3 linked regions of the Arabidopsis thaliana genome follow. The protein of the gene in region 1 interacts with the protein of each later gene in a pairwise test. Each region holds a gene or a part of one and is shown on either strand. Other genes may lie near its edges.

The links. Proteins that work in one complex are often made in the same cells at the same time.
Region 2: the proteins of ATBET12 (region 1) and FEI2 interact in a protein complementation assay, tested with the Arabidopsis thaliana proteins (one large-scale study listed by BioGRID).
Region 3: the proteins of ATBET12 (region 1) and AT1G05640 interact in a protein complementation assay, tested with the Arabidopsis thaliana proteins (one large-scale study listed by BioGRID).

Annotation. Positions count from the first base shown.
Region 1 is NC_003075.7:8,306,953-8,314,138, forward strand, and holds ATBET12 (Target SNARE coiled-coil domain protein), read left to right. Parts: upstream 1-3,366; 5' UTR 3,367-3,529; coding exon 3,530-3,543; intron 3,544-3,846; coding exon 3,847-3,997; intron 3,998-4,462; coding exon 4,463-4,519; intron 4,520-4,607; coding exon 4,608-4,667; intron 4,668-4,767; coding exon 4,768-4,853; intron 4,854-4,961; coding exon 4,962-4,986; 3' UTR 4,987-5,432; downstream 5,433-7,186. Other genes in the region: HCD1 (3-hydroxyacyl-CoA dehydratase 1), read right to left, coding at 1-710; AT4G14450 (uncharacterized protein), read left to right, coding at 2,567-2,944. UniProt on the Arabidopsis thaliana protein: Required for vesicular transport from the ER to the Golgi complex. Functions as a SNARE associated with ER-derived vesicles.
Region 2 is NC_003071.7:14,958,367-14,967,895, forward strand, and holds FEI2 (Leucine-rich repeat protein kinase family protein), read right to left. Parts: upstream 7,073-9,529; 5' UTR 6,880-7,072; exon of another isoform or gene 6,651-6,879; intron 6,407-6,650; 5' UTR 6,275-6,406; coding exon 6,178-6,274; intron 6,067-6,177; coding exon 5,931-6,066; intron 5,841-5,930; coding exon 5,769-5,840; intron 5,681-5,768; coding exon 5,609-5,680; intron 5,357-5,608; coding exon 5,285-5,356; intron 4,897-5,284; coding exon 4,825-4,896; intron 4,731-4,824; coding exon 4,659-4,730; intron 4,464-4,658; coding exon 4,375-4,463; intron 4,254-4,374; coding exon 4,098-4,253; intron 4,003-4,097; coding exon 3,670-4,002; intron 3,591-3,669; coding exon 3,345-3,590; intron 3,251-3,344; coding exon 3,117-3,250; intron 3,040-3,116; coding exon 2,821-3,039; 3' UTR 2,485-2,820; downstream 1-2,484. Other genes in the region: AT2G35615 (Eukaryotic aspartyl protease family protein), read left to right, coding at 1,025-2,368; MOR1 (ARM repeat superfamily protein), read left to right, coding at 8,462-8,624, 8,820-8,925, 9,017-9,140. UniProt on the Arabidopsis thaliana protein: Involved in the signaling pathway that regulates cell wall function, including cellulose biosynthesis, likely via an 1-aminocyclopropane-1-carboxylic acid (ACC)-mediated signal (a precursor of ethylene).
Region 3 is NC_003070.9:1,684,952-1,692,860, forward strand, and holds AT1G05640 (Ankyrin repeat family protein), read right to left. Parts: upstream 5,005-7,909; 5' UTR 4,551-5,004; coding exon 3,947-4,550; intron 3,848-3,946; coding exon 3,438-3,847; intron 3,355-3,437; coding exon 2,485-3,354; downstream 1-2,484. Other genes in the region: 5PTASE13 (Endonuclease/exonuclease/phosphatase family protein), read left to right, coding at 1-36, 368-676, 763-1,030, 1,176-1,299, 1,397-1,757, 1,840-2,202; AT1G05650 (Pectin lyase-like superfamily protein), read right to left, coding at 5,313-5,540, 5,651-5,879, 6,028-6,317, 6,738-7,175.

The sequences.
Region 1 (7,186 bases):
TTGTGAGTGGCCAAGTTATTTGCCGTTAAATCAACCATCCGACAAAGCTCCGGATACAAACTCTTCCTAATGGTTGCATACACCTCACCATTCCATTTCTTAGCGGCCAAACTTTCTCCAAGGCTCACTGTAGCCTCCACCACACCTTCCGCACTATCATGCGCCGCTGAGTCCACGATCCCGAGAGCCACCGCTTCTTCTCCTTTGAGCTTCTTCCCGCTCAGTAACAGCTCCCTTCTCGCGATACCTGACCCAACCTTAGCCACGACCAACGCCGAGAAGTAGTCCGGCACCGGTAGCCCGATGTCCACCTCGCTCATATATAGAACCCCACGGTCTTTCCTCATGAAAACGTAGTCGTGGCTCAGCGCAAACATCAGCCCCGAGGCTGCCGCGTGGCCGTTCAAGGCGGCGATCGTCGGCATTGGAAGATCGAGGAGGGCGGCTAACACCGGTTTAAAGGATTTGACCATTTGGTGCATCCGTTTTATAGCACCGTGTCCAGCGGATTGAGCCCACGCGAGGTCAAAGCCATTGGAGAAGAACTTTCCGTGACCGGTAGTGATGAGGACGGATCCTTTTGTGGATTGAGACTTTGCTTGTTCAAGAAGCGAGAGAACAGAGGCGATCGTGTCGGGGTGGAATCTGTGCTCGTCTTCGCCGGTTAGGGTTAGGAGAAAGAGATCGCCGCGCTTCTCTAACGTACACATGGTGCGTACGTTAAGGACTTACTGATTTAGGATGGTACAAGAATAAGGAAAGAGTTAGTAGAAAACTGTGATATAGAAGTGAGTGTTGAGTAATTAATAGAAGGGAACCCAACTGTATATTTATTAGACGTGCTTTGCCACCGAAGTCTTTAAATTGGGTAATCTTCCCAACCATTTTGGTGTCAATGTTATTAAATGCAGACGAGACAAATGTGTATGAATGAATGTGTGACTTTCTTGCTGAAAATGATAATTGTAACTGTTTGTCCTTGGACGTAATTACCATTTTGTTCTTTCGCAGCTATTGGCTAAATCAATTTTGGTTTCCTTGTCTCCACTTGATTAATATTAACAACCTTTTTTTAGTGCTTACACACTTACAACTGTTCGTATGATTTTTTAGATATCTTGTCATGGCTTTTGAATCTATGAACTTTATTTTTGAAGCATGATTGATTGAGATCTCTGCTTTAGCATTACTCATGGACACATTCCATAAGAGACCGACATGAGTAGTTAAATTAGTTCACTAACTCTTTAAGTTGTGCAAACAACATTAGTTAGGTTAATATTAGTCCGCCAACTCTTTAATTTATTAAATACACAAGCTACATAGAAAAGAACAGTGTCTTTAGATCCATACTTGACCAGCCGGTCTAACCGATAAAACTGTTAACTAGACATATAACAATCATTATTTTACAAGATCCTATAATTCAAATACATATTCAAATATTTATTTAATATGCAAAGATTTTTATTTTATACCGAATAAATACTAAGATTTATCTTGTTTATTGACTTTTATTTTTAAAAAATTTTATACCGTATTTATGTCCGATCAGAGCCGTCCATGAACGCAATAGGACCAAATTTATGCTTGCGGCCTCAATTACTACAAATAAAATATTGACCTAATTTTTTTATAACTTTCAGTAAAAACGTTGATTATTTGATTCTTAGATACCTATGGTCGTCAAAAGTTTGAGTCCATCTACCTTCATTTACCTTGTTATTTTTTCATTTTCACTCATTAAAATAGGTCTAAATTTTGTTCTTTGCTTGCAATCTATTAAATACTAGAGACGGCTCTGTGTTCGATTAATGACACCACGATGGGACTTATAATACAAATCAGTATACTCATATATTACAAGATCATGTTAACTTTCTTACTATTTATATTTTGGTTAGCAACATGCAATATGCGGGTTTGAATAAGGCCATAAGGGTGATGACACACTGACAACACTAACACAAACCATTGGATTACATTTTTTTGTTCGTGTAGAAGTTAATCAGGCGGCTAGTTGACTTGACTTGGCCTGAAAAATGCAAAAACCTCACATATTTAAGCACATCGTGACATGGTCCGATTTTTGCTTTCTTTTGTTTTGTGGCTTAGATTGTAAAGCTCTGTCCGCACTAGACTCAACTTACATATTCATATTCATATTCACCTCTGGTCCATATATATTATAAAAGTCCAATAGAACATGTTCACGAGAATCTGTATAGGTAAACCTCATCCACCATTTAACATTTCATGAACATGTTTGACTTCCATTAACAAGATCGATGTCTTTGTAATTTAATATTAAAAAGAACTTTAACATAAAAACAAGCATGGAAAATTCAAAAAGAATTGGTCAAAGAGTATTGCCAAAACAAAAATGTAAAGAAACGGGAAAAGGGAAGATAAAGCAGCTAATTTTCTTTCTCCAACTCTGACCAATGACCATATCCAAGCGTGTATGTAATGTACCTAGTCAACATGTTACAAGTCGTGGCCCTCCTCACCTTATTATATATGTCATCTACATAAACATCAGACATCACACACCAACATCATTATTATGTTCTTTGATACAAAAGTACTCAATTATCCTACAATTCACAAATCTATCTCCATGGCGTCCACGATGCAAAGAACAAGCAGCTCCGCGGCCAGTAACGAGAGGCAACTTAGCCAGCTACAGAGACGAGCTCCGTCTTTAATGATCAAACCAACGTCTTTTAGTAACTGGAACGTGGCGATCCCTCTCCTTTCACCGCTCGCTCCTTCTCTAACATCATCCTTCGACCAATCACATGTTCCTCCGCCGCAGAACAAGACTGAGATACCAGTGGAAGAAGAGGTGAAGAAGACACCAGTTTTCAAGAAATGGCAACATCCCGCGTCGCCGTTCTGCTACGAGCCAACAACGTTTGTCCCACCGTTCATCCAGGTTTAGAACGGTTCATCAAAATTTTGTAGATTTGATGACTCAGCTACCAGCCCCGTGTGAATTTTGTTCCTGTGATATTACACGCGGTTAACTATTTTTCACGTTTTTGTATCAGTTTTATCCTCTAAGAGATAATATTATTCACTAACAAAGTATTAATTCAAGTTCTAAATGGGTAAAAAAAAATGCATAAAACACATGAAACAAAATTATGGGAAAAACATGGAGAAAATAGTTGCATGAATTCTTTAAATAAATTGTCAAATTAACCCATCATACATCTAGGGTTGGACTTTTCTTTAAAGTTCATTTCTTCAAAGTGTTCACTTTTAACAAATAAAAAAACTAACTTCATGGATTCAATATGGGCCGAACTAAAGCCCAGTAAGCCCAATTCAATTTAATTCTATTTTCTTCTTCTTCTTCTAGGGACTTGTAGTACAGTAAGAACTTTCGTACGTTTCTCGCAAACAAAACACGAAAACTTACGCTTCTGGAATTGAATCCAAATCGAGAATTTCCTTTACAATGCTCTAAATTCGTCTGTTATGTTGAATCCTTCGTAAGAGAGTAGAATCGAAGACGAATCAAATGAACTTTCGAAGGTTTGATCTATTGATCTCTTCCTCTGCATTCGAATCCTGTTTTTATGTAGATTCATCAATGTTTAACAAATGATATTGATTCTGCTCTCGATCGAATTTGATCTAGATCTCTTCACAATCTCCAGATTCACTCTTTCTGAAATCTTAGTTTTTTGAATCACCGACATTCGAATTCCTGATTCTGAGTCATTGACCTAATTCTAGAGTTCTAATTACAGTTTTCCAGATTTTGAATTGAGTGTATCCAACTAGAATTGGAGAAAATTGGATCTGATTAAGAACCAATGGTTTTGATTTCTGTAGGGAGAATCGTGCTTCGAGAACGTCTCTCTTTGATGGCCTTGATGGACTTGAAGAAGGTCGCTTGAGAGCTTCTTCTTCGTATGCTCATGACGAACGTGATAATGATGAAGCTTTGGAAAATCTTCAGGACAGAGTTTCGTTTCTCAAGAGAGTATGTTTCTTTCATCTATATAACTAAAGAATCAAAATATCAACACAAGCATAAACATTAGGATTAAGAATTGTGATTCTTTATTGTGAAATGGATGGTGCTACTGATCCTTATTGTTTGAGAAAGAACAGTCCCTTAAGCACTGCTAAGTCGAGACCCTAAATGTATCTTTCGAGCATCGAACGATGATCTAATGCTTTCGAAAAGTCTAGATATAAAGAAATTGAACTTAGTTTTTAGTTCCTAGATATGTATTGAAATTGTAGATTAAGAACATTCTCTCCAGCATTGCTATCACTAGACCCTGTATAAGTCTTTCGGACTCAACGACAAGGATCGAGCTATGATGTAATGCCTTAGAAAAGTCTAGTTATGAAAACAATGCCTTTTTTGTTTTCACTCTTGTCAAATCTAGTTTGCAATAACGCTTGCCTGAGATGTAAGTTGGTAATAATATCTTATCAGGTGACTGGAGACATACATGAAGAAGTTGAGAATCATAACCGCTTGCTTGACAAAGTGGTAAGCTGAAAGTTTGATTTCATCTGTTTCAGTTTGTAGATCTCTATCACATGCTTTTCTTCTAAGCTATTTGTTGTTGTATCTCTAGGGGAACAAAATGGACTCCGCGAGGGGGATAATGTCGGGAACGATCAACCGCTTCAAGTTGGTATGTAAATAAGATTTCGTACCTTTTATATATGCATCACCCCTTTTGTTTTTCGCTATCAAAACTTATATCTGAATAAAACTCGATTTTAACACGACAGGTCTTTGAGAAGAAGTCTAATCGAAAAAGTTGCAAACTCATAGCTTATTTTGTGCTCCTGTTCTTGATCATGTATTACCTTATTAGGTAAAATACACTTCTTCTTATAGTTATCAAAACACTTGACTTTTCTTAGGGACTGGTTCAAGTCCTTGTTCTTTGACTCGAACACTGACAATCTTTCGGATTTTGCAGGCTATTAAACTACATCAAAGGGTAAATTTGGATACAAGAAGAAAGTAGAGTGTTAAATGAATAGTTTCGTTTGGGACTTCCATTTTTGGATTTCTCCTGATGAATGAATGATTCAGACATAGTAAACAAGTCAAGGGACCCTATTGAAACCCTATTGAAACCCTATTGAAACAAGACAAAGAAAGAGATTGTGAAGAGACTAGTGAACCAACCGAAAGAAAAAATGTTTGATAGAGACTTGTTTGTCACAAGCAAAATCATCTCATGTCATTTCATGTAATGTAGCAAAAGCTTCTTTATCATTTGTCAACTATTTGATCTTGGGTTCATGTTAGCAGTTTTGTCTACAAAAAGCTTAATTGATTGATTGATAAGCTTAATTATTAGCTTTCTGTGAAAAAAAGTTTAGCACTTTGTAATAAAAACAAGATAACTTGGCGTCTTGTTTCCAAAAATTTCCAATTTTCAGAATTTTAAGGCGCAAATACCGTCCTGTATATTGACATTTTGCTAAAGATCCAAATACGTAACAACATGAGAAATATCATTTTTGAACGACTCGCAACAATTCCACAAGTTGACAGGACACTACTATGCAGAAGAGTTTGATTTTTTTTCCACTTTAGGTAACAAGTTGACAATAATCGACAAGTTCATTTTTGGTTTGGTAATAGACAACAAGTTGACATGTACATTTCCAAATGGTTCGGTTTCTAGGTCAAATCATCTTAACAATTATGTAAACTATAGTCTTAAATGTTGAATTTACGAGTGAATAACAGGTTGCTATGCTAAATAGTAAATTTCTTGAAACTACTGTTTAGATAAATAGTCAAATAACCATGAGTTTTAATATAGCTACTAGAGGATAACATTTGAGTTCTGGCACAATATATAGAAAAAAAGTAAAAAAAAAAAAATGTTACCTTATTAAATCGGGAGTAGTTTTTCAATTTCTTCTGATCTTTTAGTATATGCTAAAATACCATGTTAGTAAATATGAATGTGATTTTTGTAAAATAAATATATTATAACACAACAACAGATGTTATGCTACATATATTAAACAGGGTGCTAGATTATAAACAAAAGTGTTTTGGATTCACATGAAAAATATGTGTAATTATTTGAAGAAGTTAGATATATAGATCATTCAAAAAATAGTAAGCTACATGGTTATCTAATATACTGTTGGTAGTGAATCCATCAACCTAATCGTGACATATATACAATGTACAATCGAAATCGTTTCTAAGAAAGCCGACGAAATACTCAGCCTTTAGAAAGACTAGTATACGACATGTCCTACCACCCTAATTACTAAGAGAAAAAGATTCATGATGCTGCGGGAAATGACTTGCTTTCTTCAATTAACTCTTCATTCGAGCTTTGGTTGCTCTAGCTCACAAATTATCGTCGTAGTTAATTGAATATTTACAAGGAGCTGACTAAAAAATTAAATGTACATGCACATACATTGGAGCACGCCCACCATGGCTATGCTAAGCATGCTCTCTTAGCAGAAGTGACACCTCTCAGAAGCTATTGGGCCATAACAGAGTTATGACACGGGTCATATCCGTCAAAAGCACATTGCTTCTAGAATGCGAGGTATGATTGCTAAAAACACGATCGACAAGGAACTCAAGAACATCAACTTGCATATTGAACCTACATACATGCCGTATATAGGCATGTGCGAGGAGTATTAAGGATATAGGACTGGTTAACTTCGGTTATCACTGGTTTGGTTGAATGTGGTTTACTAACCACAATAATCTTATGTATATAAGTTTAATCTCGATTACTTTGTTAGTTAAGTTGGTTGTAACAACACTTTAAGCTGAATAAGAAAAGTTGTTATCTTCTTCTTCGTCTCTCTTCTCCGATCTTGAATCTCCGATGTATCGGATTTTATCATGGTATCAGAGCACAATATATTGATTCCGCGTTTGTTGTGTTCATCGGGAGAGAGTTTCATTTTCGATTTCTTCTTTTGATTCTTTCGTTCGCTTATGCCATTCGTTATTTTTCCGATTCACCGGAGTATTTTTCATTCTGTTTCTTTTACTTCCTTCAATTGACCTTTAGCGTGAGCGAATCTCGTTTTCTATACATCAAATTCGTCTCGCTTTCTTTGTAATTTTTCATTCTTACTCTGAGAATGGGATCTTATGTACCTCCACCTGCGAATCCGGTGACTCGTCCTCCGATCAACAATGGTG
Region 2 (9,529 bases), on another chromosome or scaffold:
AATTTATCTCCATAGAAATTGTTTAATTTTCGTTATTGGTGCCTGTCAATAAAAATTACAAACATATGCAGAGCGTTGGATTCGTGGATCGTTGAACATCCTATTGAGAGACAGGGCCAGCCTCCTAATTGTATGACATCGTCTCTTTCACAATATACTCATTAAATGAGAGGTTGAGATTTGACTTATTTGCTTTATACAGCCTGCACAGTGTGGAAGACCCCTCTAAAGACTGAACTGGGGACAGCAACAATGGGAATCTGACCATCCTCATGACAGTACCTGGAAAGAGTCTCAGAAGCTTCAAGTTCAGTACGCAGCTTGACCAGTCTTTCAGTCATATAGCCATAGGGGTTGAATTAGTGTCCATCTTCCCATTGTGATTAACGTTCTGATTTAGCATGCACCTTCGAATTAAGTGAATCTATTACCATGTGACCAAGCCATTGCATTACTAATATAAGCATATCACATTTCCCTTTTCTCCGTGCCAACTGAATTTGAATTATTTTCCCTCAACTTAATCACATGTTTTCCTCACGGCCAAAAGTACTCTCAGTGTTACATGATTACCACAACAAATGATTTAAACTTTGAACTTTTGAAGTTATCGAGCAACATGGCAAATCCTGGTCCTATATGACATAACATGAGTTCCTCTGCCTATTGTAAAATTAGGAAACACAAAACCAAAATGATTATATCTGGTATTATAGTGTGGTGTATAACATATACTCACACAAGATATGCTCTTAAGATGATAAATGTCTAATCTTCCAAGTCCCAATTTTGAAAACGTTGATATTAATTTCCCCTCAACCCCACTAGCCTCAAATTAAATTAGCAGCCTTAGTGTGAAATTAAAAGATAGCTAATGAATTGCATTTCAGACTTTCACCTCCCCACTCACGTAGCTATAACTCCTTACCGTTTCAAATCTCTTCACTTCCCCAATTTTGTTGTGTATAAAAACCTCTTCTCCACTTCACTCTTTCCACCACAAACTTTCTAAAACTAATCAACAATGGCAACCCAAATTCTTCTCTGTTTCTTCCTCTTCTTCTCGGTGACTCTCTCTTCATCGGGTCACCCAAAAAACTTCAGTGTTGAGCTGATCCACCGTGACTCTCCCCTTTCCCCAATCTACAACCCACAAATCACCGTCACTGATCGCCTCAACGCTGCTTTCCTCCGCTCAGTCTCTCGTTCCCGCCGCTTCAACCACCAACTATCCCAAACCGATCTCCAATCCGGTTTAATCGGAGCAGACGGCGAGTTTTTCATGAGTATCACCATCGGTACTCCACCAATAAAGGTTTTTGCGATCGCTGACACAGGAAGTGACCTAACTTGGGTCCAATGTAAGCCTTGTCAACAATGTTACAAAGAAAACGGTCCAATCTTCGACAAGAAGAAATCCTCTACTTATAAGAGCGAGCCTTGTGACTCACGTAACTGCCAGGCCTTGTCCAGTACGGAACGGGGATGCGATGAATCCAACAATATATGCAAGTACCGTTACTCTTACGGTGATCAGTCGTTCAGCAAAGGAGACGTTGCCACGGAAACTGTCTCTATTGACTCTGCTTCAGGGTCCCCTGTTTCTTTTCCTGGTACTGTCTTCGGTTGTGGCTACAATAACGGTGGTACCTTCGACGAGACTGGTTCTGGGATTATCGGTCTAGGTGGTGGTCATTTATCACTAATCTCCCAGCTCGGTTCGTCGATTTCGAAGAAATTTTCTTATTGCTTGTCTCACAAGTCAGCTACCACGAATGGCACAAGCGTCATAAACCTAGGCACTAACTCGATTCCTTCAAGTCTAAGCAAAGACTCCGGCGTGGTATCAACTCCGTTGGTCGATAAAGAGCCTCTTACTTACTACTACTTGACGCTTGAAGCCATCTCCGTCGGGAAGAAAAAGATTCCTTACACCGGAAGCTCGTATAACCCAAACGACGACGGAATACTCTCGGAGACATCTGGAAACATCATCATCGACTCTGGAACGACACTGACCCTCCTCGAAGCTGGTTTCTTTGACAAATTTAGCTCGGCGGTGGAGGAATCAGTGACCGGAGCCAAGCGCGTGAGTGATCCACAAGGGCTTTTGTCTCACTGTTTCAAATCCGGAAGTGCAGAGATCGGTTTGCCGGAGATAACGGTGCATTTCACGGGTGCAGATGTGAGGCTGAGTCCGATCAACGCATTCGTGAAACTGAGTGAAGACATGGTTTGCTTGAGTATGGTTCCGACCACCGAGGTTGCCATCTATGGGAACTTTGCTCAGATGGATTTCCTAGTTGGGTATGACTTGGAGACGAGGACGGTGTCGTTTCAACACATGGATTGCTCTGCGAATTTGTGATTTGACGGCGTCGTATCGAGCTTATTTTATATTGTCCATGATAATCATTTGTTTGTTATGGAGATGTAAAATCAGAATCAAAGCTTAAAAATTATCCTTGCTAGTAAAAATAATTACCTTCTTTCTATATTGATCTTCTCATCGATATTATATGATTGGTTTCAACTAGTTCCGAAGTACACAACATGTATAATAAAACTTAAGAAAGCAAACAAGAAAGTATTATGATAGAGAAATTATTCAGATTCTTAGGAACAGTGTTTCTACAATGGATGGTCATATACATTTTAATCTCATGATCAGATCAATTGAGGCGTGTCACCAATCTACCAATTCAAAGTAAAAAAAAAAAAAAAAAAAGGTACCGACTATGAATGGCTCGAGAACTTTGTACTGTAAAACTGAAAAGGAACTCTGAAAAGAGAAGGCAGACAGACTTTGTGAACGTGAGATCAATCGGAGCTGGAGTCGTAGAAGTCGCTGGGGCAAGGAGTCATAACTTCGGATTCAAGTAACTGGACGACTCTGTGCATTGTTGGCCGCTCATCTGGACTTGACGACACACACTTTGTTGCTATTGATAGAAGTGCGTCGAGACTCTCTCTCTCCACTCCTTCACAGCTTAGATCAACAATCTCCTTTGCCCGGTTTTCGCTGATTAAGAAGTTTAGCTGCAAGATTATAAAAAACAAAATTTAAGCTTTTACTAGTCAATATTATTATCTAAGCTGGATCTCGTTATGCTTACCCAACCAACAATGTTAAAGCCTTTCTCGATGAATGAGGCATCCGTGGGAAGTTTACCACTCAAGACTTCAAGAACCAAAACCCCGAAGCTGTAAACATCGGTTTTCTCAGTCGCTCTACCGCTTTGCATATACTCTGCAAAAAACACTCATTATGAGTTCACGGATTTAGGTCCTAACAGATAGTAACAACAAGTAATAAGCATTGTTATTACTGTGTAATTGAGTACCTGGAGCCAAGTAACCGAATGTGCCTGCAACAATGGTTGTAATATGAGATTCTTCGTCCTCTAACAACTTGGCAAGCCCAAAGTCTGATACCCGAGCCTCCAGATTTCCATCCAGTAAGATGTTGCTTGATTTTATATCACGGTGTATAATCCTAGGAGAACAATCATGATGCAAGTATGCCAACCCTTTTGCCGCTCCTATTATGATATTAACTCGCGAATCCCAATCCAGCTGCTCGCCTCTCTCTACACATTCAAAAATTTCACTTAATAGAATCATAATTCTCCGTTAAGGAAACCCGTAAATATGAAGTTGAGGGTTTACTATGTAGAGCTTCATCAAGGCTACCACCAGGAAGGTAATCATATAGCAGAAGCTTTGATGTGGGTGAATTGCAGTATCCACGTAGATTCACAAGGTAACGATGTTTGATGCTCCCAAGAATCTCAAGCTCCCTTTCAAAAAACCGATCAAAACCTTCATTTAACTTAACAATTCTTTTCAGCGCAAAAACATTGCCATCGTCCATAGACAGCTTGTACACTGTGCCAAAGCCTCCACAGCCTATTATGTGCTCTTCATTAAGAGATTCCAGTTTCTTGATAATGTCTTTGGAAGCGTAGGGCAAATCTCCATGGAACATCACTATAGACGCACCTGGATAGAAAAAATCGTCTCTTATGGTGTCAAGTTTTGAGAGAAAAATATAACTCTTAGAGAGAATATCTACAATATGAGTCAGCATGGCTCACCTCCACCGACATCTATCACAAGGCTTTTACTCTCAACTCTACCAAGCTTTTTATAGAGAAAGCATCCCCAGAAACACATGAGCGCCACTAGGAGCAGCCCACCCACAGTAGCTGAAGCACTTATAAGCAGCCTTTTAGGGTTATTACCTCCTTGGCCTATAACACGGGAGAAACCAAAAAGCAAACTCATTTCACGCCAAATACTACAGATTTCTCAAAAATTAAGTTATAATCCATATATCCTGACAAGAAATTGATTAAAACACAGTTGCTTTACCTGTTGGAGACCCAGAAGCTGTAGAATTTCCACTGTCATTGCACACAATATCGATTTGTTTTCCACACAAGTTACGATTTCCGTTGAAGCTGCAAGAGTGATTCAACAGTTTACGACTTGGTTATTTTCAGCTACACTGCTGCAAAGCTAGTAACAGGGTGCTATCGTACACAACGTCACAAAAAAAATTATAACTGCTTTGCCAGATCAACCGTAGAAAGATTTATCAACCATAATTTACAAAAATTTGGTTGGGGAAATGGGTATATATAAATTATACTTACGAGTCCCTCGAGAGTCTAGCGAGTAGGCCGTCAGAAGGTATTTTTCCCACCAGGAAATTGTTTGAGACATTGCTTCAAAAGAAGATCAACATAGTTAGTAACATTGACACTCATATATCTACAGGACTGCAAAATAAAATACGCAAGTTAGAGATTAGCAACTCACAATTTAGTAAGCCTTTTCAACTGCCCAAGTGAAGCAGGGATAGCTCCATTGAGATTGTTGTTTGAGAGGTCCCTTCATAAATGAGAGTCAAAAATCATAGTAGTTCAGAAGAATGTAGATGATATGCCCATTTAATATGAAAGAAGCCTAGCATAGATTTACAATTCTCATCATCATATTTGAGAGTTTTTCACCCGGAAAAAATAACACAATACGTGATTAAATATAAGTTATGTCAAACTCCCTATAATTTTTAGGGTTCACCACGACTGTAGAAATAAGTACTTTCGAAAACATTATGTTGTTGCTGCATGGAAGATCAGAAGAACCTCTTGTAGTTCACAATATAATTATAGAGGATACTAAATGGTGAGAGTAGATAGCAGAACAACAAATAGCAGATCCTAGAGAGGCTAAGAAAACAAATCCACTTGGAAGAACGAGGAAAAAAACCACGTACAGGTTTTTCAGCCCGGACAGGTTTCCTATTTCACTTGGGATTGTCCCAGTGATGTAATTATTCTGCAAGTATCTGCAAGGAATAAAAGGACAATAAATTATAAAAGATTCACAACGATTCTTGTCAACTAGCTAAACTTGTGACTGAGTTTATCATCACTCACAAGACGCATCAATATTATGCACCAACTATATAGAAGCAAATAAAGAAAAACACTAGTAATTGTTAGGAAATAATATAAAATTTGGAAAAACAAAACGAGAATTCGATCAGCAATGAAGTGTAATCACACTAATCAGCATAAGTATTTGGGAAAGCCCTTACATTCCCTCTAATGCCGTGCAATTTCCCAATGAGGCAGGTATTGATTGATATAACGCATTGTTGTGAAGCATTCTGCAATGACATGGGAATACACATACAATGAGTAGTAGAGCATATGCTAGACATCAATAATATTAATTAAAAGGTTAGGAGCACATACAAAAGCCTTAACTGATCCAGCTTTCCAAGCTCAGGGGGTAAAGGTCCCCTTAATTTGTGATAAGTAAGACTCCTGCACACAAGAAACTTCAGGAACCGACAAAAGATGCACCACATACTGAAGAAAAAAAAAGAATTTAAACTAAAGAAATTTTAAACTTACAAGGCTATAACTCTTTTTGTTTTTGCATCACAGGTCACTCCTTTCCAGTTACATGGATCAGGATCCTCTGGTCTCCACAGACCAATAACACCATCAGAAGCCAAAACTCCATTTCTAAAACTCAAAAGCGCCTCACCTGGAGAAAAAAAGGATTTAATCCCTTCAGCAATCTGGGCGGAGTAAATGGTGATCATGACTTGTCAAAGACAAAATATAGAAGAGATTAAAGACACATATCGCTGTATACCATCAGGACTAATTGCTTCATTTTCATTCGTTAGTGCAGAGAGAAACGAGATCAAAAGAAACCATGAGCAGCAGCGCTTCATTAGACAGATGCCCATTATGGCACCGTTCAAGCATAATATAGCTACTGCCAATCATCTGAAAGAACAGCCTCCGGAATGCAACACTCGTAGCATATACTCAGCTGCTCCGTGACGCCCAGTCTATCTTCAAGAAACAAAAAGAGACTCCTGAAGTTAAATAAAATAATGTCATTAGACCGTACAACAATAACAGCTGACCCTCATTTGAAACTCTATCAAGCCTCGATCTTCCAATAATCAGACAACCAAATCCTCAATTACAAATCAAGCGTTCCACAACATCGATGCACAACATTTGCATGGTCTCATTAACAATTACAGCACCCAGAACAGTGAGATTATCTAATCGGATCAAATCCACCTCCCAAATTTGCAAAATCAGAAATCGAACCTTCAGAATAAAACCCCAACTCATTATTTAAAGAGGAGCTCGGATAGCTAAAATCGAACTTAAATCACGAAATTCGGAGGACATCATTGCAATCACAGCACAAGAAGAACTGAAGAGTCAACAAAACCATTCAATAATCTAAAAAAACGAAATCGATTCGCCGATAACTCAGACCAAAATCTCACTTCCCCCAAAAAAATGGCGAAAGAGAATGGGAATTTACACGAACCTCAAAATGGATCCGCGAGGAGGAAGATGAAGATGAAGAATAAGACAGAGGAAGAAGACGCAATTGAGCTGTAAAGCAATGTCTTAACTAACAACTTTTTTTTTTTTGTTGTTGTTGTGATTTATGAGAGAGTGAAGAGAGAGAAAGTAGAGTGTGCAGTGGAAATGTGAGATACTTTGGAGAAGGAATCGGCTAGTTACGAGTTTACGACCAATGAGAGAGGAGAAGTGGAGACCACACGTGCCGATCATGACTTATTACACGTGTCGACCGACGCATTGTATAATGCCAGAACTGGACAAGGGCTTGTTGGGTCAGTTAAAACATCGTTATTGCGTGGGCCTACTAAAGCCCATTGTTATTTATTTGGAAGCGTACTGTACTTTACTATCTTTAGGGACAATTCTTGTATTTTCAGCTTTAGCGGATCTTATTCACCTAAATCAAACAAACAAGTGTACTTAAAAATGGAACAAACAATGGACTGATAATCATTATTTCATTTGCTTTTATAATAGAAATCAAAATATTAATATTGGATTCAATCTTTCCACGTAACTTCTTGTTTTGGTAATTTCATCTATGATTCTTATAAATTTGGTACCATTGTAAAAATATGGCTTAAATTTGAGTTGTTGTTTCATGTGTTAGCAGTAGACAAGAAAAGATATCTGGAGATAGAGAGTTACATCACCTAAGACATGAGGATGGAGATGGAAAAGGTGTAAGGTGTGGTGTGGCTTAAATATTCTTGTACTAATTATCAATCAAAGTTTGTTTGAAATTTGAGTATTTGTATTCTGAATTTGAATTAGATATTTCAAATATATTAAAATCCAAAGCGAAATCAGATCCTAGCATAAATATTTAGGATATTAAAATAATAAATTTTAACTAGTTTTTAAATCATAAAATACACAATGTTTTTGAACTTCCATAATCAAACTAATAAATCCATTTTGGTTTACGTGTCTAGTTTTATAGAAAATGACTATTTATTTGTATTTTATAGAAGAAAAGATAATCCAATAAGTAAGTAATAATAACTCATGATTTTGTTGATTTTTTAAAATAAATATTTTTATAACTAAAAATGAGTTATTCATTTCAAAATATTACTTTATTTTCTTAGAAATTAATAGATTGTTAATGTAAATATATTTTGAAAATATTTACAGAACCAACAATAGGAAAATTCAGTACTGTTAATCATTTCCTAAAATAGTTTGAAAATGCCGATCTCTCCACGTGGAGAAAGCAAAAGAAAAACGCTCGTTTTAAGATTTGAAATAATCGCGCGTGTAAACATTTCCAATCAAAACGCGCGTGAAGGGTTTTTAACAAAAAAATTACACCACCGATTTAAACGTAGAAACCAAAATTCCCCCACTCTCTCTCTCTCATTACGCTCCACCCTACTCTTCTTTTTTGTCCTTCTCTCTCTCTCTCTTGCCGGCACTAACAACACGAAGAAATTTTTTTGAAAAGAGAGAGAAAGTTTCCAAGAGACCGTACGAAGAAAAAAAAAACTTGGTATAGATCGATAAGATCGATACCGTCGGAGAGATAATTTCGTGGAGTAATGTCGACGGAGGATGAGAAGTTATTGAAGGAGGCGAAAAAACTTCCTTGGGAGGATCGGCTTGGGCATAAGAATTGGAAAGTTAGGAACGAAGCTAACGTCGATTTAGCTTCTGTTTTTGATTCGATTACTGATCCTAAGGACCCTCGTCTTCGCGATTTTGGTGAGTTTCTCTACCTCGTTTTTTTATTATTATTATGTTAGGGTTTTTGTTTTTGAAGCTCAGATCTGATTAGGGTGGTTTATATCGGTGTGGATCTGTTTTGAATTTGGATTGTTGAGTGGGAATGTGATTGGTCTAGGGTTCCATTTTGCTTTACTTTTGATTGAATTTCTGATTATTATTTTTTATTCGCAGGTCACTTGTTTAGGAAGACGGTGGCAGATTCTAATGCGCCGGTGCAAGAGAAAGCGCTTGATGCATTGATTGCGTTTTTGCGAGCAGCCGATTCAGATGCTGGAAGGTATGGTGTTGTTTATTTTTATTGCTTTAGAAATGGGCAGAGTGGAGTGTTCGTTTGCATGTGAATAATTAGTTTGTTTCTGCTTTTGAAGGTATGCAAAGGAAGTTTGCGATGCTATTGCGCTCAAATGCCTTACGGGTCGGAAGAATACTGTGGACAAGGCGCAGGCTGCTTTCTTGCTTTGGGTAGAATTAGAGGCCGTCGATGTTTTTCTGGTATGTCATTCATTCTATGTTTTTGCAACACTGCTAGGGTTATCTAGACACATACGGTTAACCCTTGCACTCTGATGTATAGGTTCACCATCTAGCCATAGAGTTACTTGCTAGATTGCTGATACTGGTATCTGAAACTAGATAGGTGAGCTGACATAGAAATGAAAGTGCTTTATAACCCAGAATTCAACCATATACTGATCTTAGAAGGAGTGACGTAGAATATAGCATTGTGGCTCTTTGTCCAGTTCTGTGTTATGCTAGGTATCTAGTGTGGCATAGGAAAAGAGCAATTTAAATAACGATGACTGACAGATGTCCTGAGCATCCTGTGTTCAAGGTCAAGAAACAGAATCAACTTTCTGGGGTCTGTTCCTATAATCACCCTC
Region 3 (7,909 bases), on another chromosome or scaffold:
GTTCCATGTGGTTTTGGCCGTGCCATTGGCAACAAGGTATGTCTTACTTCAATTCCCACTTCTTCAAATCTGATTATGATACTACATACATTCAGGCCTTTAGGATTCAGTACTTCAGTTTTTATTTGTTCTTGTGAAGTTGCAAATGAGAAAGTTATATATGAAATGTGTTGCTTACTTACAATGTTTATGACCCACTGAATGATAACACAATTACAGGAAAAAACTTAGCCTTTTGCCACAATGTGTAATCTCTTCTATCTGGCTAAGATGTAGATGACAATGCGATATAGATGTTAATTCAAATTTAGTTCTCTATGAGGTACTTGTTCCGTTTACACGCATTAATGTCCTACTTGTCAAATAGGGAGGTGTAGGTCTGAGAATCAGAGTTTATGACCGAATAATGTGCTTTGTGAATTGCCACTTGGCTGCACACTTGGAGGCGGTTAATCGCAGAAACGCAGATTTCAATCACATTTTTCGATTGATGGTCTTTTCCCGAGGACAAAATCTAAGTAACGCTGCAGCTGGTATGGTGCCGTACCTGTTTTTGTCTTGCTCACTTGGCTTTTCCACATATTTATTTTGGCTGCTTTATTCTTCTGGTTTGCCATGGGCCCTCTCTCTTGCAGCTGGTGTCTCAACTTCAGCTTATACAACAAAGAGTAACACTGTATGTTCTTATCATATCACCTTTACTCCTGAGTTTATGTTGTTTGCTCCTTAAATTTGTATTTAACATGTTTCTCTGTTTTCCAGATTCCAAGCACCGGCGCTGAAGAAATCAAGTCTGATCTTGCAGCAGCAGACATGGTCGCATTTTTTGGCGATTTCAACTATAGACTGTTTGGTATAACCTATGATGAAGCAAGGGACTTCATTTCACAGCGATCCTTCGATTGGCTCAGAGAAAGAGACCAACTTAGAGCAGAGATGAAGGTTGGAAAAGTCTTCCAAGGAATGCGCGAGGCATTAATCACTTTCCCTCCCACTTACAAATTTGAAAGGAATCGCTCAGGCCTTGGAGGTAAAAGTGGATTTGATACATAAGATATGAATTTGAAAAAATTGAAGCAGTTTTGCTCTGCTCTGTTCTCTGCATTTTTTCCTCTGTTTTGTAAGAGATGGTGGCTCCAAAAAAACTGAATCTTTCTGTGCTGTGTACTCTCCAGGATATGATTCAGGGGAGAAAAAGCGAATTCCTGCGTGGTGTGACCGAGTTATATATAGAGACACTCAATCTAGCCCATTCTCTGAGAGCAATTTGCAATGCCCTGTAGTTTCATCAGTCATAATGTATGGTTTCATGACGACCTTTCTGATGTTTCTCGCTTTTTCCGGTCTCTTCAATGTGTTTTCTCCATTCTAACTTCCCACCTGCGTGTTTCAACAGGTATGAAGCTTGCATGGATGTTACTGAGAGCGATCACAAACCCGTGCGCTGCAAATTTCATGCGACAATAGCTCATGTTGATAAATCTGTGCGGAGACAGGAACTGGGGAAAATAATAAGGTCTAATGAGAAGATTTTATCCATATTCGAAGATTTAAGATTTGTTCCAGAAACTTCTGTGAGCACCAACAACATTGTTCTTCAGAGTCAGGACACAGTCATCCTAACAATCACAAACAATTCACCCACGAGCCAAGCCATATTTAACATTCTGTGCGGTGGCCAGGCTGTAGTTAAGGATGACGGAGAAGATGCTGACTACAATCCACGAGGCTCCTTTGGTCTACCACGCTGGCTCGAGGTATTAAATTCTCTTTTGACGCCAAATGAAGATTCTTGTAGTATTCAAGATTTAGTGATATACAAGAATTTTTTTCTTTTAGGTTTCTCCCGCAGCAGGGATAATAAATCCAGAAGGATCCGTAGACGTTAAAGTTCATCACGAAGATTTTTACTCAATGGAGGAATATGTTGATGGCATCCCACAGAATTGGTGGTGCGAAGACACTCGAGATAAAGAAGCAATCCTGATGGTGAACATTCGAGGAAGCTGCTCAACAACATTGAGAAGCCACTCTGTCAAAGTCCGTCACTGCTTCTCAGCCAGAGTATGTCTCCTTGAGAACAGACCCACGAACCTAACAAAGAACTTAGGTGGTTCACGTCGTTACCCAACAGATATTACCCGTAATGGAAGCACTAGACCAAGAACTGAAGACTCGGTTAGACGAGGTAAAAGCCGGTGATGAGCTCTTGTGACTTTGACAGTTTTAACTAGATCTTAGAGCAGAAGAACAACAAAGTCATCACAAGACAAATGCATCAGGTGAAGAATCGCTTTTATTCATTCGTTGATTCTTTAGAAAATTCATTTTGTGTCAGAAATTGTAGATTTGCTTTGAGACTGTTCCTCAGGTAGCATGTATTCAACTTTTGTATCTCCTCACTTGAATCTAAACTACAGGTACGTGACCCATGTATACATTTGTTACTCTTACACTAAATTGCCTGTTCTGGAGATTTTAGTCTCAGAGTGCATACATTCTCTTGTTGAATTCGCCGTTGAGAATCTCTGACTCTGAAGGCATATGAGATAGTGAGAAAGATTTCGATTTGCTTCTCTCTTTCCTTAAGCTTTTCAGTTTAGATTCCTCGATCCTATGCATGACCACACAGTAACACATTGCACCTATCGTGGTTAGCATAATCGTCCCGCCAATAATCGTTGCACAAATCGCCAGCCAAATGTCCTCCTTACCCACAACGATAAACGAAAGAGAAACAAAGGCTACGGATATGAACAAACAAGCCAACCACATGAGCTTGTTGATCACAAACACAAGATTCTTCTTTGCCTTCTGCTCAATCACCACAACTGAAGTCTGCACCACAACAACAGCCAAAGATATGAACAGCGCCAAGCTGTCAAATATGAAGAAGACTAAAAACGGGGCTTTGCCGGCTATGCGGGCTTCTCCTAATAACAACAGTCCCTTTGTTCTGTCTTCTTCATATTGCCCAGGAATGGTGAAGATTGCTGCAAATGCAACTGTTGCAATTAGGACAGCCACAACGGTTGCAGAGTTTATAGCGTTGTTTAAACCATTGATGTGAAGCTTCTTCAGTCTCTTTGCGATTCTCCGCACCCTAACACCCGTTTGGCGAGACTGTTGGAGCTGAGACTGTACCTCGTGTTTAATGTCACTGACCGTTTGGTTAAGTTGCTTAGCCGGGTTTCGAGGCTTCCCAAGATCTTTAGCTGTTGCAGCTCCTGCTTCCTTCAGAACCGACACAAGCTCTGGATTTCCAATCTTTTCGGCTATATCAAGTGCAGTATCTCCAGCCTTATTCATAGCATTAAGGTTAATTCCATCAAATGATACCAAACATCTCACTATCTGCAAGCAAAGGCAAAATGCAGTTCATCAGAATTCTTGTAGATTGAGAAACTGAGGGGAGGGGGAATTAGCGATGATGATACCTTAATACGGCCTTTGTTTGTGGCAGTGTGCAACGGCGTATTCCCTTTACTATCCTCAACACTCAAAATCGCAGGATCAGGTTTCACCAACTCAAGAACAATCCCTTCGTTCTGACCTTTGACAGCCATGTGAAGCGCTGTTTGTCCCTTCTTATCAGTTCTAAACCCGATGCTTGCATCATTACCTATCAAAGACTTAACCACTTCTCTGTGCCCCATTCGCGCTGCAGAATGAAGTGCGGTTTTACCATTGTTCTTAGCTATCTTAGCTAAATGAGAATCCGTCTTTAAAAGAAGATTCACCACATCAGTGTGTCCTTGTGAAGCAGCCGTGTGCAATGCAGTTGTACACGATAGATCCACCGTCATAGCCAGATTCGGAAATGTCTCCAACAATTTCTTCAATGCCTCTGCAAAAGACAGCACACATTCAAAGATATATGTCAAGAAGGTGTACAACAATAACAAGGTCTTCAAGTTATTATCAGATTCTCTAAAGTTTCATTTACCAATATGGCCTTGTTTTGCAGCGACATGGAAAGGATCAAAACCGTTGCGAGCTTTAACTGATGCAGTATCAAGATCCATATGTTTCAACATCTCTTCAACAACTAATGAATGCCCATTTTCTGCTGCACTATAAAGAGGGGTCTCTCCTTCTAGATTCTGCTTTGATGACAACTCCTTCAACTCTTCAATGCCGTTACAAGCTCGAATCAATTCCATAACCTTTCCCAAATTCCCCGTTCGAGCTGCGAGATGAAGAGGAGAATCTCCTCTTTTACCAGGTGAGTCAGTCTTCTTCTTCCTCTCACCACCAACATTCATGAAACTTAACTGTCTCTCCATTACTACCCTAAAGCTTTTCTGCTTCTCAACAAACCCACGAAAGCTTCTCTGCCTCTCCATTGCCCTCTCCTGTTTCTCCATTGCTCTTCCTTTGATTCCATGTTTCTCAACAACATTCACAGCTAGGAAACTAACTTGCTTGTCCAAAGCTCTTCCCTTTCTCACCTGATTCTCTGCACCAACGCATCTGAGACTCTGCTGTTCCTCCACAGAGTTACCTCGAACGCTCTCTTGCTTCTCCATAACAGGAACCAGAGAACTCATGGTATGCTTCTCCCTTAGATTACACAAAGATCTTGAATAACAACTTTTTCTCCCAAATCTGAAAGATGCCAACTTTGTTTGAAGAATCCGTGAGCTCTTTTCCAGCAACCCGTGTTTCGTAATAACAGAACCAGCTTGAAAATGGAAAACCCTGACTTCCCTGTGATTTCCAGATTTCTTGTAAAGATTCAAACCGATGTGATGAAAGAAGAGAGAGAAAAAAAAAAAAGGTTGCAGCTGATTTCAGTAGAGTGTAGCTGAAACCCAATAGATTGATTTGTAAATCTCAATGCTTTTTGTGGGCAAATCATGTAAGATTCTCAGGATATAGAGATAGAGAGAGAGACTGTGATGAGTGACTGCATCTTCAGCTGTTTTCTTTATTAATTTCGCTAAACTTCCAAAATCTTTAGTAATATTAGTGATTACTTTTTCTTTTGAGTTTTGAAGCAACAAATTCTTAATTACTATGTCAATTATCTCCAGTTTAAAACTTTATATCCAGTTAAAGCTTCTTTTCTCTAATTTCTTTATATTTTTGTTGTCCAAATCAAAGACCAAAAAGCAAAAGCACAATGTGATGGTGACAACAAGTCAAAGTCTTCCACTTTGTTGGTTACTGAAAATAATATTTTATTAATAAAAAAAAAAAAATTGTATGTTACAGAAATTGGTGATCATATACCTTGTTACAGAAAACTATTTGAAAAATCAGTTTCCTAATAACATTTCACAGTGATATCATCTTAACCCCAAATAAATTCATCGATTTAGACAACTAGTAGGTTGAATAACACCAAGATTTTTCCCAACAGCATTGAAGCACAAGGAAGTAGCAGGAGTTCCTTTGTTGTAAGTAAGCTTTATGTCTTGTAATGTGATTCCCGTGCATGGATTGCTCTTGCTACACACCAGCTTCATTGCTTCCTGCGTCGCCGAAGTTCCTTGTATGTTCTTGTACGTCACTTGGGTTATCTTCACCCCCGAATGCTAATACATACCATAAACATAATAAATCTTTAGTTATTTGACTAAGTTGATAATTTGATATAGCATATTTGATTAGTCTGAAATTGATCAAAAATATGATATGGATATACCTCAGTAGGGCAACCTTGGTTGGACGGACAATAGTTTTGGTCGATTATGATAGGGTTTTGGACGTTCCTCATGATTAGATTTTGAAAGAAGACGTTTCTAACGAATCCGGTACTCGGCCTCGCCCATGACTTTATCCTCACGCCGTTTTGTGATCCGGTGAATACCGAACTCGATACTGTCACGTTCTCTACTCCGTCTTCGTTTAACTGCTTTGCCAAACTCCCGATGCTGCCAGTCATCACATCATCATATGAGTTGTGACCAGAGTGAGTGAAGGCAATATTGCTAGTTTTTTTTTTGTTGGAAATTCATGATTCCTAACAATTAATGATATATTTACATAATTTACTCTAAGGAATTAGACGGTGGTGTATACCTAACCCCGTGACCTGGGCCACAAGCAAGCTTGGAAATTAGGAAGTTGCGGGTCCCCTGACCGATAGCAACACAATCGTCTCCGGTCTGAACGGTGCTTCCGGTTAATGTGACTCCAGTGGAGAACTGAACGGTGAAGCCGTCAGTGTTTGGGCTGTCTCCGGGAGCCACCAGCCTAATGTTACGGACGGCCACATTGGTGCAACCGTTGAGGGTCATATGGCTAACCTGGCTGTTCATCGATTTCACTCCACTTATGATCACGTCTTTTGCGGAGTTGAACGATATTGACTACAGTAATTAATATATAAACGCCATAGATTAATAATAAGATTATAAATATTTCATTTTATTTTGACCAAAGAATCCATTTCCTTGTCCAAAAATCATTATCATAATAGTTATTATATGCTTATAAAATAAATTCCTAAAAATGGCATGGATAGATCATATTGAAAATTAAATGTGCCTGAATTAATATAGTTGAAAACTATCAACTAATTCCTTTTTTTTTTTAATCGTAAGTAAATGATTGGAATAAAGATATGTTATTTGACTATTAAAAAAAATATATTGACTTATTTAGTTATTACTAATCAATAATGATTAAAGCTATTTGTTGCTCTTTTGCATTCTGGTGGCGCTTATGTATGAATGTCAGATTGTTGTTTTTATTTACAATAACTATAGATAGAGGAGAAGCATATGTACCCTAACACCGGGAGGACAATTCTGGCCAGATTTCCGGCAAGACCAGAACCCACTACCTCGAGCGTCAAAAGTCCCACCGACCAGTGAGAATCTGTTAACCTTGTTGAAGAGAATCCAGGAACCGGAATTGCCAAAGGTCCTATAATCTTCCGGAGCAACGACGGTTCCGGTCACTTGAAATGTGATTTTGCTCTTGCATGGCCCTCCAAACGTTATTACCTTCAACAAAAATGTCCCCGTGGGGACCACCACCGTGGCTGATGCTGCCGAGCCACAAGCCCCTTGCCATGCCTTTAGGAATGCTGCTGTGGAATCGGTGACTCCGTCTGGTTTGGCCCCGAAGCTCACGACGTTGAAAACAATGGAGGCGCTGCTCGAGACATCGATGAAGGTGAGAAGTGTGAAGATAAGTGGAAATGTTATAGCTGATTTTGTCATTTTTTATATGTGAGTTTGAGTTTATGTTTGTGTTTGTGTTTGTGTTTGTGTTTGAATTGATTTGATTTGATGCATGGGTATATATAGGGAGAGAGAGCATAATTATTTTGGTTCGTTATTGGAGTCTATGGTACAATTAAGTACATGTGATATCTATATGATAAGAGGTTGTGAATATTTTATGATTGATAAAAGAGTTTACATTTCCAATCATTAGGTGCACACATGGTTGATATCGTACTTTTAGGAGCAACGGTCGTTGTATGAACGATGACATTTTTGCACATTATCAATTTCCCATATAACATGGGCCATATACGTATGTGTATATGTATTATATTCTTGGTACATGTTGTTTTTATATATTGATGAACAAAATAAATACGTGGAAACCCACTCAGCGATTGATTAGAACATAAACCGTATATAACGTTAATTCTATAGAGAACCAACAATACTAAATGAAGAAAACTATCATTTGTGCATAAATAGAAACTCAGCCATAAACTAAGAGAAAGAAACTCAACCAAAACCCCTATAGAGTGCAGAGTTGATTTTTTTTTTTTTTTTTGTTATCGACACAAAATTTACAAACTCCTGAAAGAACTACCATAAAAATAGGAATTCTTTATAAAAAAAATAGTAGTAACAAAATTAAATGAATAATATCTATCCTAATCTTTAGAGTATTCTTTTTATCAATAAAGTATTACTTTTCTCCAAGAAGGTAAAAT